2 linked regions of the Xenopus tropicalis genome follow. The protein of the gene in region 2 purifies or fractionates together with the protein of the main gene of each other region. This does not show direct contact. Links are inferred from orthologs where the notes say so. Each region holds a gene or a part of one and is shown on either strand. Other genes may lie near its edges.

The links. Proteins that work in one complex are often made in the same cells at the same time.
Region 1: the proteins of nat10 (region 2) and thumpd1 purify together in Homo sapiens (co-immunoprecipitation; 3 studies listed by BioGRID and IntAct, counting the BioPlex papers as one, with this or other methods). This does not show direct contact. The link is inferred for Xenopus tropicalis from reciprocal best matches to the Homo sapiens genes NAT10 and THUMPD1.

What each region holds. Positions count from the first base shown.
Region 1 is NC_030685.2:34,390,066-34,396,244, forward strand, and holds the start of thumpd1 (THUMP domain-containing protein 1), read right to left. Parts: upstream 4,050-6,179; 5' UTR 4,006-4,049; intron 3,252-4,005; 5' UTR 3,169-3,251; coding exon 2,968-3,168; intron 1,548-2,967; coding exon 1,373-1,547; intron 893-1,372; coding exon 644-892; intron 519-643; coding exon 271-518; 3' UTR 1-270. UniProt on the Homo sapiens protein: Functions as a tRNA-binding adapter to mediate NAT10-dependent tRNA acetylation modifying cytidine to N4-acetylcytidine (ac4C).
Region 2 is NC_030680.2:15,208,821-15,214,204, forward strand, and holds the end of nat10 (RNA cytidine acetyltransferase), read right to left. Parts: coding exon 5,307-5,384; intron 5,121-5,306; coding exon 5,010-5,120; intron 4,915-5,009; coding exon 4,742-4,914; intron 4,028-4,741; coding exon 3,908-4,027; intron 3,835-3,907; coding exon 3,736-3,834; intron 3,645-3,735; coding exon 3,571-3,644; intron 2,865-3,570; coding exon 2,781-2,864; intron 1,410-2,780; coding exon 1,310-1,409; 3' UTR 1,045-1,309; downstream 1-1,044. UniProt on the Homo sapiens protein: RNA cytidine acetyltransferase that catalyzes the formation of N(4)-acetylcytidine (ac4C) modification on mRNAs, 18S rRNA and tRNAs.

The sequences.
Region 1 (6,179 bases), on a different chromosome or scaffold from region 2:
TTATGATAAACAAGAACAGCAGTTTCCTGTAAGAGTGATGGCACAAGGGATGTTTTGCTGCCTGCACTAAATCTCCTACAATGCAGATAACAAAACTACTGAATATACCTTTTGTATTGCAGTCAAATGTACTCACTGCCAAACTGCAGGATTTACTGTGGGTGACTAAACCTTCTCTGTGCCATCACCCTTAAAGGCAAGTGTACTGTAGCTCAAACACCGTAAAACATAAAAGTGAGTGTATTGAAAATTCACTGCCCTATCAAAGTTCTAGCTGTGTGCAGTATTTTGAGTGCCTTGGGTTTCTTTCAGATTCTCTTCTTTGTCCTCCTTTGTGGGCTGTTGGGGTTTTTCCTCCTTACTACTCTTTATCACCTCCTGTAGATTGTACTTCCTAAACACAGTATAGTCCTTCACAACACTAAAGCAGCAGACATTCTTTATGATTTCAACTATGACAGTATACTCTGGGTTACTTAAATCCACCTTGTTTTCTGGGTTCTGGCTTGCGACAATCCCTAAAAACAAAATTAAAGTAAAAAAAATATATATATAAGACTCTACAAGAAAATACATGCTAAAATATTCAACAAAGTGAGGCGAGTGGAAATGAAACAGCCCTTGCACCCTTATGTAGTTATACCTGCTAGTTCCTTTATCACTTCATCTCTATTCATATGGTTGTTGTTCCGTGCTTTATATGCAATCTGAAAGGTTCCCTTGTTGGGAGATTTAAACCAGGGTGCAAAAAATGTCTCCGCGTATTTCTTCAAGTCCTCAAGAAAAGCCTTGCATGTACCAGAAACGGGCAGCATGCGGAGGATGACCCTGGTCTTCTTCTTCTTGGTTGTGTGCACGTCTTTCAAAATATGATGCACCAGCTTCTCAGGCTCTGAAACAGCAACCGAGAAATCAATCAGCAAAGTTATACTTACACACTGACATTAAAGGGGAAAAATGCAGAAATGTTTTAGATTTCAAGAGTCCTAGGAATTTGATTTAAAGGCCAAATTTGCCCACATAACATCCAGTTAGAGGCTCTCTGGCAATTGTGCCTGTATAGCCAATCTGTACCTGGCTTCCAGCAGGCATGCTCCTAGTCAGCGATTACTAGAGCAATCCTTAAACTAGATGTGATGCGGCCAAAGGTGGTGATGATGCGGCCAAAAGTGGTAACCCCACTGCGCAACTCTGCAAAAAGAATTCATATTCTTATATGCAGCAAAAATATTGGCTTGTCTACATCACCTGTGAAAAAAGAAAAAAAAACTTTTAATTTTCCTTTTCCTGGAGACAAAGGGTGGGAGGTGCAATATAACCTCTCTAATATTTCATGACAAATAATTAGCAACTCTTTCAAAAACAAGCTTACCCACATTCAGTGTTCTAATAAAAATAACATTGTTTGCTCCACTTTCCACAGACTGAAATCTACGCAGGTTTTTTTCTGTTGAAGTGCGAATCTGATCGACTTCTTTCTTTAGAGCTGCTTCTGCATCATCATCCTCTTCCTCACTTTCTGATAGCCCATCGTCTTTCTCACTTAGCTATGCAGAAGAGAATTGTTTTAACACATATTGAAGGGTATGGTGTCCTGTTTGGTCAGTGCATCAGCTAGTAACATGTATACGGTAGGCAGCCACCAGCTTCCCAGGCATGCCCTGTCCTACTTAGACTTTCAGACCTGGCACATGTGTACTACATAACTTTTCTTAAGAAAAAAATTAAGTGGTGCAGGGGATGCCTGGAAACCATAGCAGTGCCCACACTGGAGATAACTATCCCTGGTCAGTGTTGCTAAACAACAGGAGCACTGGGTAAAACGTAAGTAATGGTGGGTACCTAACAAATTTGCACCACCAAGTGGTGCAGGCATTCCTTGTCCTTTAAACTGAACACATACAAAGACAAAATTTGTTCTCCTATTTGGTGGATAACGTCTTTACAGGCTATTTTTTTTTTCTTTTTGACTATAACCTTGTATTTCCACTGACACTGAATCTATCTAACTTGTCTGACAACTGAGTAATGAGTTCTGTGACTCTTGAACTAGCATTTTTTCAGCTGCTGTTGTACTAAAAATACCAGCATCCATACTGGCATAACGTCAACAGCGAATGGAGAATGGTGGTACAACATGTATTACACATAAGCTCTAACATTCCCCAGTAATGAGTACACTACAGAATATTCAGATTGCCGTTGGGGGACTGGTGTGCTCCAAATAGTATTGTTCTAATAAGAAGGGCCCTCCTTACCTCCTGTGTCAGTCACTATGTATGTATGTATATCTTTATTTATAAAGCGCTACTTATGTATGCAGCGCTGTACAGTAGAATACATTAATGCATTAAAGGGGGTTAAGATAATAATAGATAAATACAAAGTATAACAATAAATACAAGATACAGTTGCGATAAGTTATTCGTATTCTGTACGAATAATGTGCTTACTCTATCATACAGAGCTGCAAAATATTTTAGTGCTTTATAAATACTTATATATATATATATATATATATACATACACACATGTAGAAATATGAGCCGCACTCACAGGACTTAGTGTGAGAAAAAAAAAACAAATTTATTGAAGCATAAAGCTATTAGCTTTATGCTTCAATAAATTTGTTTTTTTTTTCTCACACTAAGTCCTGTGAGTGCGGCTCATATTTCTACATGTACCGGTATATTTTTGTTTGACACTGCACCCAGGCATTCCAAATCCCATTTTTATGTGAGTGCCAGTTGCCATATTGCATATATATATATATATATATATATATATATATATATACACACACACTTTGTAAAGTTATTATGGTTGTACATTTATGGCATTCCAGCATTGAAATGTGGCTCTGTTGCTCTTTAGCAAAAGAACATCCAGCAGGGATTGAAGATATTCCTACAAATAACATTTTTTTTAGCTGCAAACAGATTTCATTAGAAATATTGAAGGCTGTACCTTCTCAGGACCATACATCTGATCCCCATATTCATTCAGTAGGCTGTAGGCTTCTGCTACACATTTCCGCTCATTCATGTTACAGGTGATAAGGATCCCTTGCATTCCAACCTCCAGCTCATGGCGCCGCTTCTGCCTCTTGGCATTGCCGCAGAATTGAGACTTATATCTTTTCTTGCCCTTTTGCCCATCTGTGCTCATGATTGGTGTGGAATAATAAAAAAGTTCCTGGTGCTAACAACAGTTACAGCCTTCACCTAGATGTGTATTCCTGGTATCTGTCTCTAGGCAAAGAAATCAAGAAAAGGTTATATTCCAATCAACCTAACATCAAGTAAAATGTGCAATAAAATGAAAATGATTGTGCATTCATTACTTTCACGGTATTATTTTTAATGCAATGTTTATATGAATTTGCACAAAGTTGCTGTGCAATATTCATGTCCAACCTATTCACCATAAAGGGAATTGGAGGTAGAACCTCACAACAGGTGCCTTGTTGTGAAGGTATGTATGTATGTATTCAAATTTACAAAGATTCCTAGTTGCAATGTAGATTAAAGGGCACATATAATAAAACTGTTTCGCCTACCAGAGATCTGTAAAAATGGCCCCTTTAACAAGGTGATCCACTACCACCAAGTTGCCTAGTGTTTGACTACCAATCCATATCTAGAATATACAGATGTATAGGAATAATGGAAGTGGACATGAGATTGCTTGCTGCTGGATTAACTATTGCTGGGTAAACTTTGCCACTGTTCTCCCACGCAACATTAAATAATATTCCTAGAGGGGCAGTACTCCCTATATATCTGTCATCAGTTGTGAGGCAGAAATAGGCGCCACACACACACAGATTATAGGGACCAATGTGTTTAACCTATTCATTGGTTACACAGTGCGACATTTCAGGGGCACAAGTCCCACACACAGTCTTCTCATTCACAGCCACAAATCTACCCTAGGCCGACACATTGCTTAAGCAGCGTTCTATTATTTAGCAAACAGTAGGCAATTATTAGAATCACACACTACCTTCTACACGCAGCCCGCACGTTATCTCCGTGTTACTGCGAGAGCATGGCCGCAGCTGGTTCCTAAGGGTCCGCCGGTGACGTCACGAACATGTGACCGTCTCCAACACGTGACATTCGGCGCCTTCTTCAAATGGCTGTAGGAATAGGTCACTCAGTAGTGTATTGCGTTGCGCTGGGTAGCATTATTTTTTTCTTGGGGCAGGATTACATGCAGGAGTTTAGTTAGTTCTTGCTGAGGCGCTTTCGGTTCAGTGGTGGCTGCGGATCTATTACAGACTTGCTGGCCTCTCTAAGGCGTGTGCCCTTAAAGCAACAGTAACATAATTTTTTTAAGTAAAATATCTGTTCTACTCTGCTCCAATAATTGCCCTGTCCTGCACAATGCTTTATTAAAAAAATACCTCAGAAACTCTGTCTCCGGTCCTTTCAAATAAGGGGACGCAGCAATGAGGTGTCAGTTTATGGATGAGGGGTTTGGACATGTGTAAGCAAGGCGTTATTAGGTATGTGTATGCCTTGCAGTGTTGTTTGTGTCCATAGTTGTATACCTGTGGGAAGGTGAGGCTGTATGTGCCACCCTTATATATGTTTCTGTCTTTTGGGGGTATGTCAGGAATGGGGGATAGGTTGGGTCAGCCTGTGTGTGCCCCCAAGGTATGTGTTTCATTGTGGGTACAATGTTTTAAAGGAGACATATCCTATAAAAATGATGAATGTGCCAGTGAATGATACTCCTCTAGATATAGAAGGGCTGTGCTTTAAAAAGTTGTGTTTCTGACTGATTTATTGAGAAATTCCACCAAAACCCCACTAGCCCCGCCCATCTGTTCCACTTCCTGCTGGCTGAATTCTCTGGATGAGCTGGGGAGCCGGAGGCCCTCCGTACACTGAATTGTAGGATAGGAACCAATCAGCAGCTAGGCTGACCTGATAGGGAACTGAAGCCTGTCAGTGCTTGTGTGAGTGCAGGGCTGTGATTGGCTCTCCCCCTCCTACTGTGCTTCTGGCAGGGACCATTAGGACACGCCCACTCTTCATTTCATACTGGATGGAGAAGTGATACGATCTATAGGGAAGCTCAATAAAGGGGCCATTTTTACAGATAGGATTAATGTTTAGAACAAAGTGAAACCAGCACCGTATATTATTCATAATTGCCTACAAAATTAGCGTTTTTTCCATTTATCCAATATGTCTCCTTTAACCCTTTACCTGCCAAGCACGTAGGTACTACACGCTGGCAGAAAAATGCCAAGCACAAAGTGCTTACATGCTTCGCGTTAAAGGGCTTCCACACTGCACTAGCAGTTTTTGCCACCAAGCAGCGGTTGGGATCACAACCCCCTTGGCTCACCTGATTGTCACAGGACCTGACATCTAGCAAACGCCCACTCACTTCCTGCTGTGTAGGCTCTGCAATTCTGGTACCCTCAATGCAGAAATGGTAAGTGCCCTTTCTTTACACATTTACACACACATACATACACTTACACATTTTACTAAAGTTCTCTTTTTTTTTTTTTTCTTTTCTGGCTTTTTTTTTTCTTTTGTACACTCTTGCAGATATTTACACACTCACATATACACACATTTACACACTTTTTAGAGCCGTACACACATGCATACACAAACATACTTTTTAAATTTTATTTAGTTCTTTATTTTATCATTTTGCCTCTCGTTTTCTCCCTAAATACTGTTGATTTCACAGTGTGGCTATTGGATCAACTATTCAGACCCCTAACCACGCAGTTTGATCACTAATTTTTTTATTTCATTGAATTACCAAATTGTATTTTGTTTTGTGTTGTTTTTTTTAGCGTAGCTTTGCAGTTTGCTAGTTTGGAGTAGAAAGACAGAATTACCCATTGTGGATTCATCAGAATATGTACTTTCCAAAAATATATGGTTTATGGTAAGTCTTTGTACTGTTAGGGGGTCTTACAGCTCATAATAAGCAGTCGGGGCTTTGTTCACAGAAGGCAAATTGACAGGTTAGAAAATTCATATGCACTATTTTCATTTGGGGTCCGTACATGCCACCTGCTTTGGTATATCTATACATATTGGGCATCAAACTGATCAGTAGACCCTTAGCCCTTTAGGGTGGTTTCCAATTGTATGTAAGACATTAGTGAGATAAATGTGGCATGGCAATATATTTAGGTGCTT
Region 2 (5,384 bases):
CATTTGTCATTATTTGTAGTTTTTCGGTTATTTCGCTTTCAGTTCAGGCGCTCTCCAGTTTGGCGTTTCTGCTGTTATTTGGTTGCTAGGGTCCAAGTGTAATTTTTTTTTTATTATTTAGCTTTTTATGTAGCAGCTCTTACCATAGCAATCAGGCATTGATTTTACTAAGAGACTGGAATATGATCAGGAGAGTGCCTGAATAGAAAGGTAAGTTATAAAAAGAAACAGTAACAATAAAGTTGCAGGCTTGCTGAGCAATAGGGGGTCAGTGACCCCCATCTGAACGTTGGAATGAGGGAGAAGAAGGCAGCAAATAAATGGAAAACTATAAAAAAGAAAAAATGAGGACCAACTGAAAAGTTGCTTAGAATTAGCCATTCTATAACATACTAAAAGTTAACTTAAAGGTGAACAATCCCTTTTTAAAGCGGAGTGTGCCATGGTCACCAAAATGCCACATCTATAGCCCTAATTTAATATATTCCCTATACCAAAACCACCTGAGAAGTGCCTTTTAATGAGTGCCATCAGAACTTTGGTCTAACTGGGCACCACTGGACATTATTATGGGACAGGTTAGGGCCATACTTCTCTAGTATTCCAACCAGTTGGATTAATGCCATCTGGCACATACCGCATAACTGTAGTATTTGACCCATTCCCAAAGAGCAAGATCCAAAGCCAAAGAACACTGAGCAGTGAAACAAAGATGGCTGTGATTTAGAAAACAAGGTTACATAGATGGGAAACATAGTGGTGTAGTTGCCTTCCAGTCATAATTCCAAGAATAATCAGGCAGCAAATAAGGGTTCACCCCGAACCTTATCCCAACTGATCTTCCATCTGGGCTTTCTATCTAGGAGAGCAAACACATTAACCCCTTACACTTACTGGCCTCCCTGGGTGAGTCCGACAGTTTGGGAACCATTGCTCTCCATCCTTGCACAGATTAAGGGCTCAGTTATGGAAAAAAAGAACTGAGCTACATACACAGCCCTAAGGCTACAGTTGTATTTGGATTCACATAAAGAAAGCACATACTGATGTAGAAACGTGTGTATATTTACACATACGGTGCTTTATGTACAGTTTAAAAATATACAAAGGTCACCATGCAACGAGTCCAACTCATATCCGTAGGCACATCCCTGCCAGCCTGTCCAGCACACAGACAGCAAACTAATCACAAAGTATTGAGGGAGATTAACACCTCCCTTGGGGCAAGTTTCCTCCCACAATATCCTTGAAAATATAAATACACTGGGTTCAGCGGATCCTCCCGCAATCACGATATGCATTAAAATAACTATTTAGCAAATTTCTGCTTTTTCTCCTTATTCTTTTTTAAATTCTTCTTCTGTTTGAATCCCTCCTTTTCTGGCTGCTCCAGCTTTCTCTTCTTGTCACTGCAAGGGAGGAGATGAACATTAGGGTGCACTTGATGTAAAGAGCAGAGCAAACATTCTGGCATGGCAAGCAAGAGGGGAATACTGGGCACTATACTTGCATATATTGTTTCATTATTTGAAAGCTTACTCATAGTTCTTACTCAGCTTCCAGGTGGCCATGCACAGGCCATTAAAAGCTGCCAACTCAACCCCTAGACACTGAGCTATCAGCTTATTGGCCAACATATGGCTCCTTCCTGATCAAAATCCGAAAATTGGGAATATATCTATCGGCAGGTTAGAACATTAATCCCTTCAGGTGTTTAACAGATTATAATATATCTTCCCTTTTTATATTCAAAGAGTTACCCTTTCAAATGCTTTCTATCCCTGGGGAGAAAATATACCTTAAAGCTCACTTTAACTATATCAAAAGCTGTATAATAAATGCTTAAGCATTTAAGTTTATTTTGCTTGACAGTGATAGTTACCCTTTAACTGTAATACTTATTCTAACCAGTAGATGGCTTTTTCCAATAATCTAACTTGTTCTATAACAACAAGCCAAGCAGTCAATGCCGGGCTATGTACAGAACTGTACGGCAACAAGGAGAGATGATAACAGATAGGTAGGCACTGCAACTAACCTTTATTAAAGCAGCCAAACACACCAAGATCAGATTGTTTGGCCAGGACACAAAACAAGCAGAACGTTTTCGGATTTGGCCCATCACATGACCTTGGGCCAATTTATGTATGTATGTATGTATGTATGTATATCATTATTTAGAAAGTGCTGTACAGTAGAATAGATTAATACAACAGGGGGTTATTAATATAATAATAATAGATAATAATCAGATCCATATAGGGGGCTTGAAATACCAGTCTGATTAACACACAATGTCCTTAGGGATTTCAAGCCTATCCAGTCAATATCTTTAAAAAGGCCAAATCAGTCGATAAAATGACTGTTTAAGGTCCATACATGAGCCAACAGGCTGCCTATTTGGTCAAGTGGGTGAGCTGAAAGCCAATATCTGCCCATGTATGTGCAGCTTTAGGCACAAGCACTATTTTTAAGCCATTAGTTAATATTGCCCATTTTTCAATAAAACATTATGGTCTGCTGATAAAAAAGACCAAAAACCATTAAAATCTGATGGCACTAAAGGTATTTCCTCTGCAGGTGGAGAAGTGCCCTGAATCTGTCTGTGTCACCATGTCTTTGCTTATAGGGGAAACTGCCTGCCACCGCTGGTTTTAAGGTCGCAAATGCTCATAAACCACCAATCACCAGGGGTGCCAAGCAGTTTCAATTAAAGCCAATGATAAGTGGTGCTGGAGGATTCAGCTGCCGATGAACCCTGTGCCATCCACTGGACTCACCTCTTCATGCTGATAACTGATGCATTTTGACCCGTTTTCTTCAGGACTTCATTCCATTCCTCATCATCCCCTCGGATCACATATCTGCAAACAGAGAATATTCTCCATTTAATGGCCTAATGCATCAGGATAGGAGGAACCCCTTACATGCAAAAATGGTAGAAAATCAGGGATATACTGAATCTGAATCTACGTGCCAGGCCGAACTAAATCCGAATCCTTAAAATCATGTGACTTGTCACAAACAAAAGCGTTCAATTTTATTTAACTCCCTGTGGCCTAATTTGCATATACAAATTAGGATTCGGTATCAGTTTGGTATACAGCCGAATCTTTCAAAAAGAATTCGGGGTTCAGGCAGATCCCAAAATATTGGATTCGGTGCATCCCTGTATAGAATGCTCCCTCTTCCTGATCTGTCTGAAGGTGTCACATGATAAACGCATATATAAACTTGACTTCATGCAAACTGTTCTTTCACTGGTACATAGTGTTTGCCATGTTTTAAGTGTTTGTGTAAACCTGTATGGTTTGTTCCACAAGTAGAAAGCACCATTGAGGGGTTCACACATTCTACATTTTAACAGCAACGTATATACTGTATATGGAGGCAGTGTAAAGATGTTGGGAAAGTTTGCCCCATCCAGAAACCCATGTGAACCAATGAAATGTTACCTTTTACCGGGGCAATTGGCAAAGTAAAAGAAAACCTGGACAGATACATAATTTCACTGGTCTCCGTTGCCCTTCCTTTTGAGGCCAAGTTGGATATTGGATTAGGGTTACTTACTCAGAGAGATTTATCCCTTTTAGCTTCTCCACTTCCTGCTTGTGTTTCTCTTGAAACTCCTTACCGGCCTCTTCCTGGTCAAAAGACATGGTAAAAAGCAAATGAGACTAGGTGCTTAATGCAGAAATGTATCAGAATGCTCAGTTAACAGGGATCTCGCCTCACCAAATCCTCCTGAAGAGACTTCAGTGTTGGTTCCATAACCACCTCCTTAGTGGTAGCCATTTCCTCTTCCACTGCCCTCTCCTGGATTCTGTTAAACAGCTGGAGAGAGAAACAGGATCAGGAGATGCATAGGAAATTGAAGGAATAAAGCCACTTGTGAAAAGGCACCTACCTGGACTATTTTACGAATGATGCGGTTGAAAAGTCCCATCAGCTGACTGCTGGGGAGCTCAATCTCTTTCTCCAACTGATCGACACTTTTATGCTGCAAGCCGATGCCCAGAAGCAGAGCCTTGTTGGAGGAAAGAATATGGTAGTTAGGCCACTCCCACATCTAATACGATACAGACCTCGTGCCCCTAGGAATTGCGTAATAAGTCCCGTTATACCTAGATGGTCTCACTAGGTCTTGCCCCCACCAGTTAATTCCTCTGCTCCATTAAAATAAGTAAACATTATAAATAAATTGATGTAAAATTGATGAGAGTGCTATTCAAAGCACTTTTTCAATTAACATTCATTATTTATTATTCTTTTAATGAAAAGTACTGTTAACATGAATGCATTTTGTTACAACAGCGCCACCTGCTGGTCACTTTCTGAACATGAAGTAGTCGAGGACACTGTATTGTTGAGAAGTTGTCAGGAGAAAGAAAGAGGGATGTTCTTCTGGTTAGGAAAGACATGAGAAAAGTTCTGAGGTTTCGAATACGTTTCCTAACAAGAACATCAGCTTAGTACTCGTTCTTACTCCTGAAAACTTCCTCCACAACGTCCTCGACTACGTCATGTTATAAATGATGAATGTAAATTGCAAAAGTGCTTAGAATAGCGCTCTCATCGACAACAGGGTGGGCACAAGTAGGTAATAAGTTTAATAAGTATCTCTTTGGGGCTTGTAGGTGGGATGGTCAGCAGTAAAACATAAAGGACCCAACTGACATATACGTGTAGTATGACAGCAGTATAACAATCAGCTATATTAGTGGAATAATATATGACTAACAGATTGAGCTGCGGACAAGCTGAGGCCTCCGAGTTGCTGCAGAAAGTACATCCGAGCCAGAGAAGGGATCAGATCCATGATAAGATGATAATCCACCATGTTACGAGAGTACATCTCCAATCGCTTCAGGTCGTAGGGGGTTAAACCAGCCTCTAGTTCAGAGCGAGAGATCACTAGGGTGCAAGAGAAAAAAGTGGGTGAGAAAAGTAAAAACAAATATATAAATCCCAGGCAACTTGGGGGGGGGGGGGGGGGGAGAGAAACTCACGGTTTTCGGATTCCTTCTTAATGTTCCTGTTCTGCAGAATGTTCAGTGCCAGTGATGGTGCAAAAGTACTGAACTGATAGGAAAGGAGAGAGAGAAACCGCTTCCGGAAATCTGTATGAAATTCAATTGAGATAATTAGGACTCCAGAAACAAAGCCCAAACCAAGGCATATTCATAGTAGCTATTATACCATATTACCCCAACCATGCCAGAAATGGATGCATAAGGACATTCTTATATGCCCCTTACAGGCACCTCATACTTCCTGGCATGTCCCAGCAACCCTTGTGTCTTTACCTTTCCAAAATGCTGTCAGCCATGGCTCCTGATCAGATTCCTCATCCTCGTGTAAAGTTTTCAGCATGACGCAGGAGT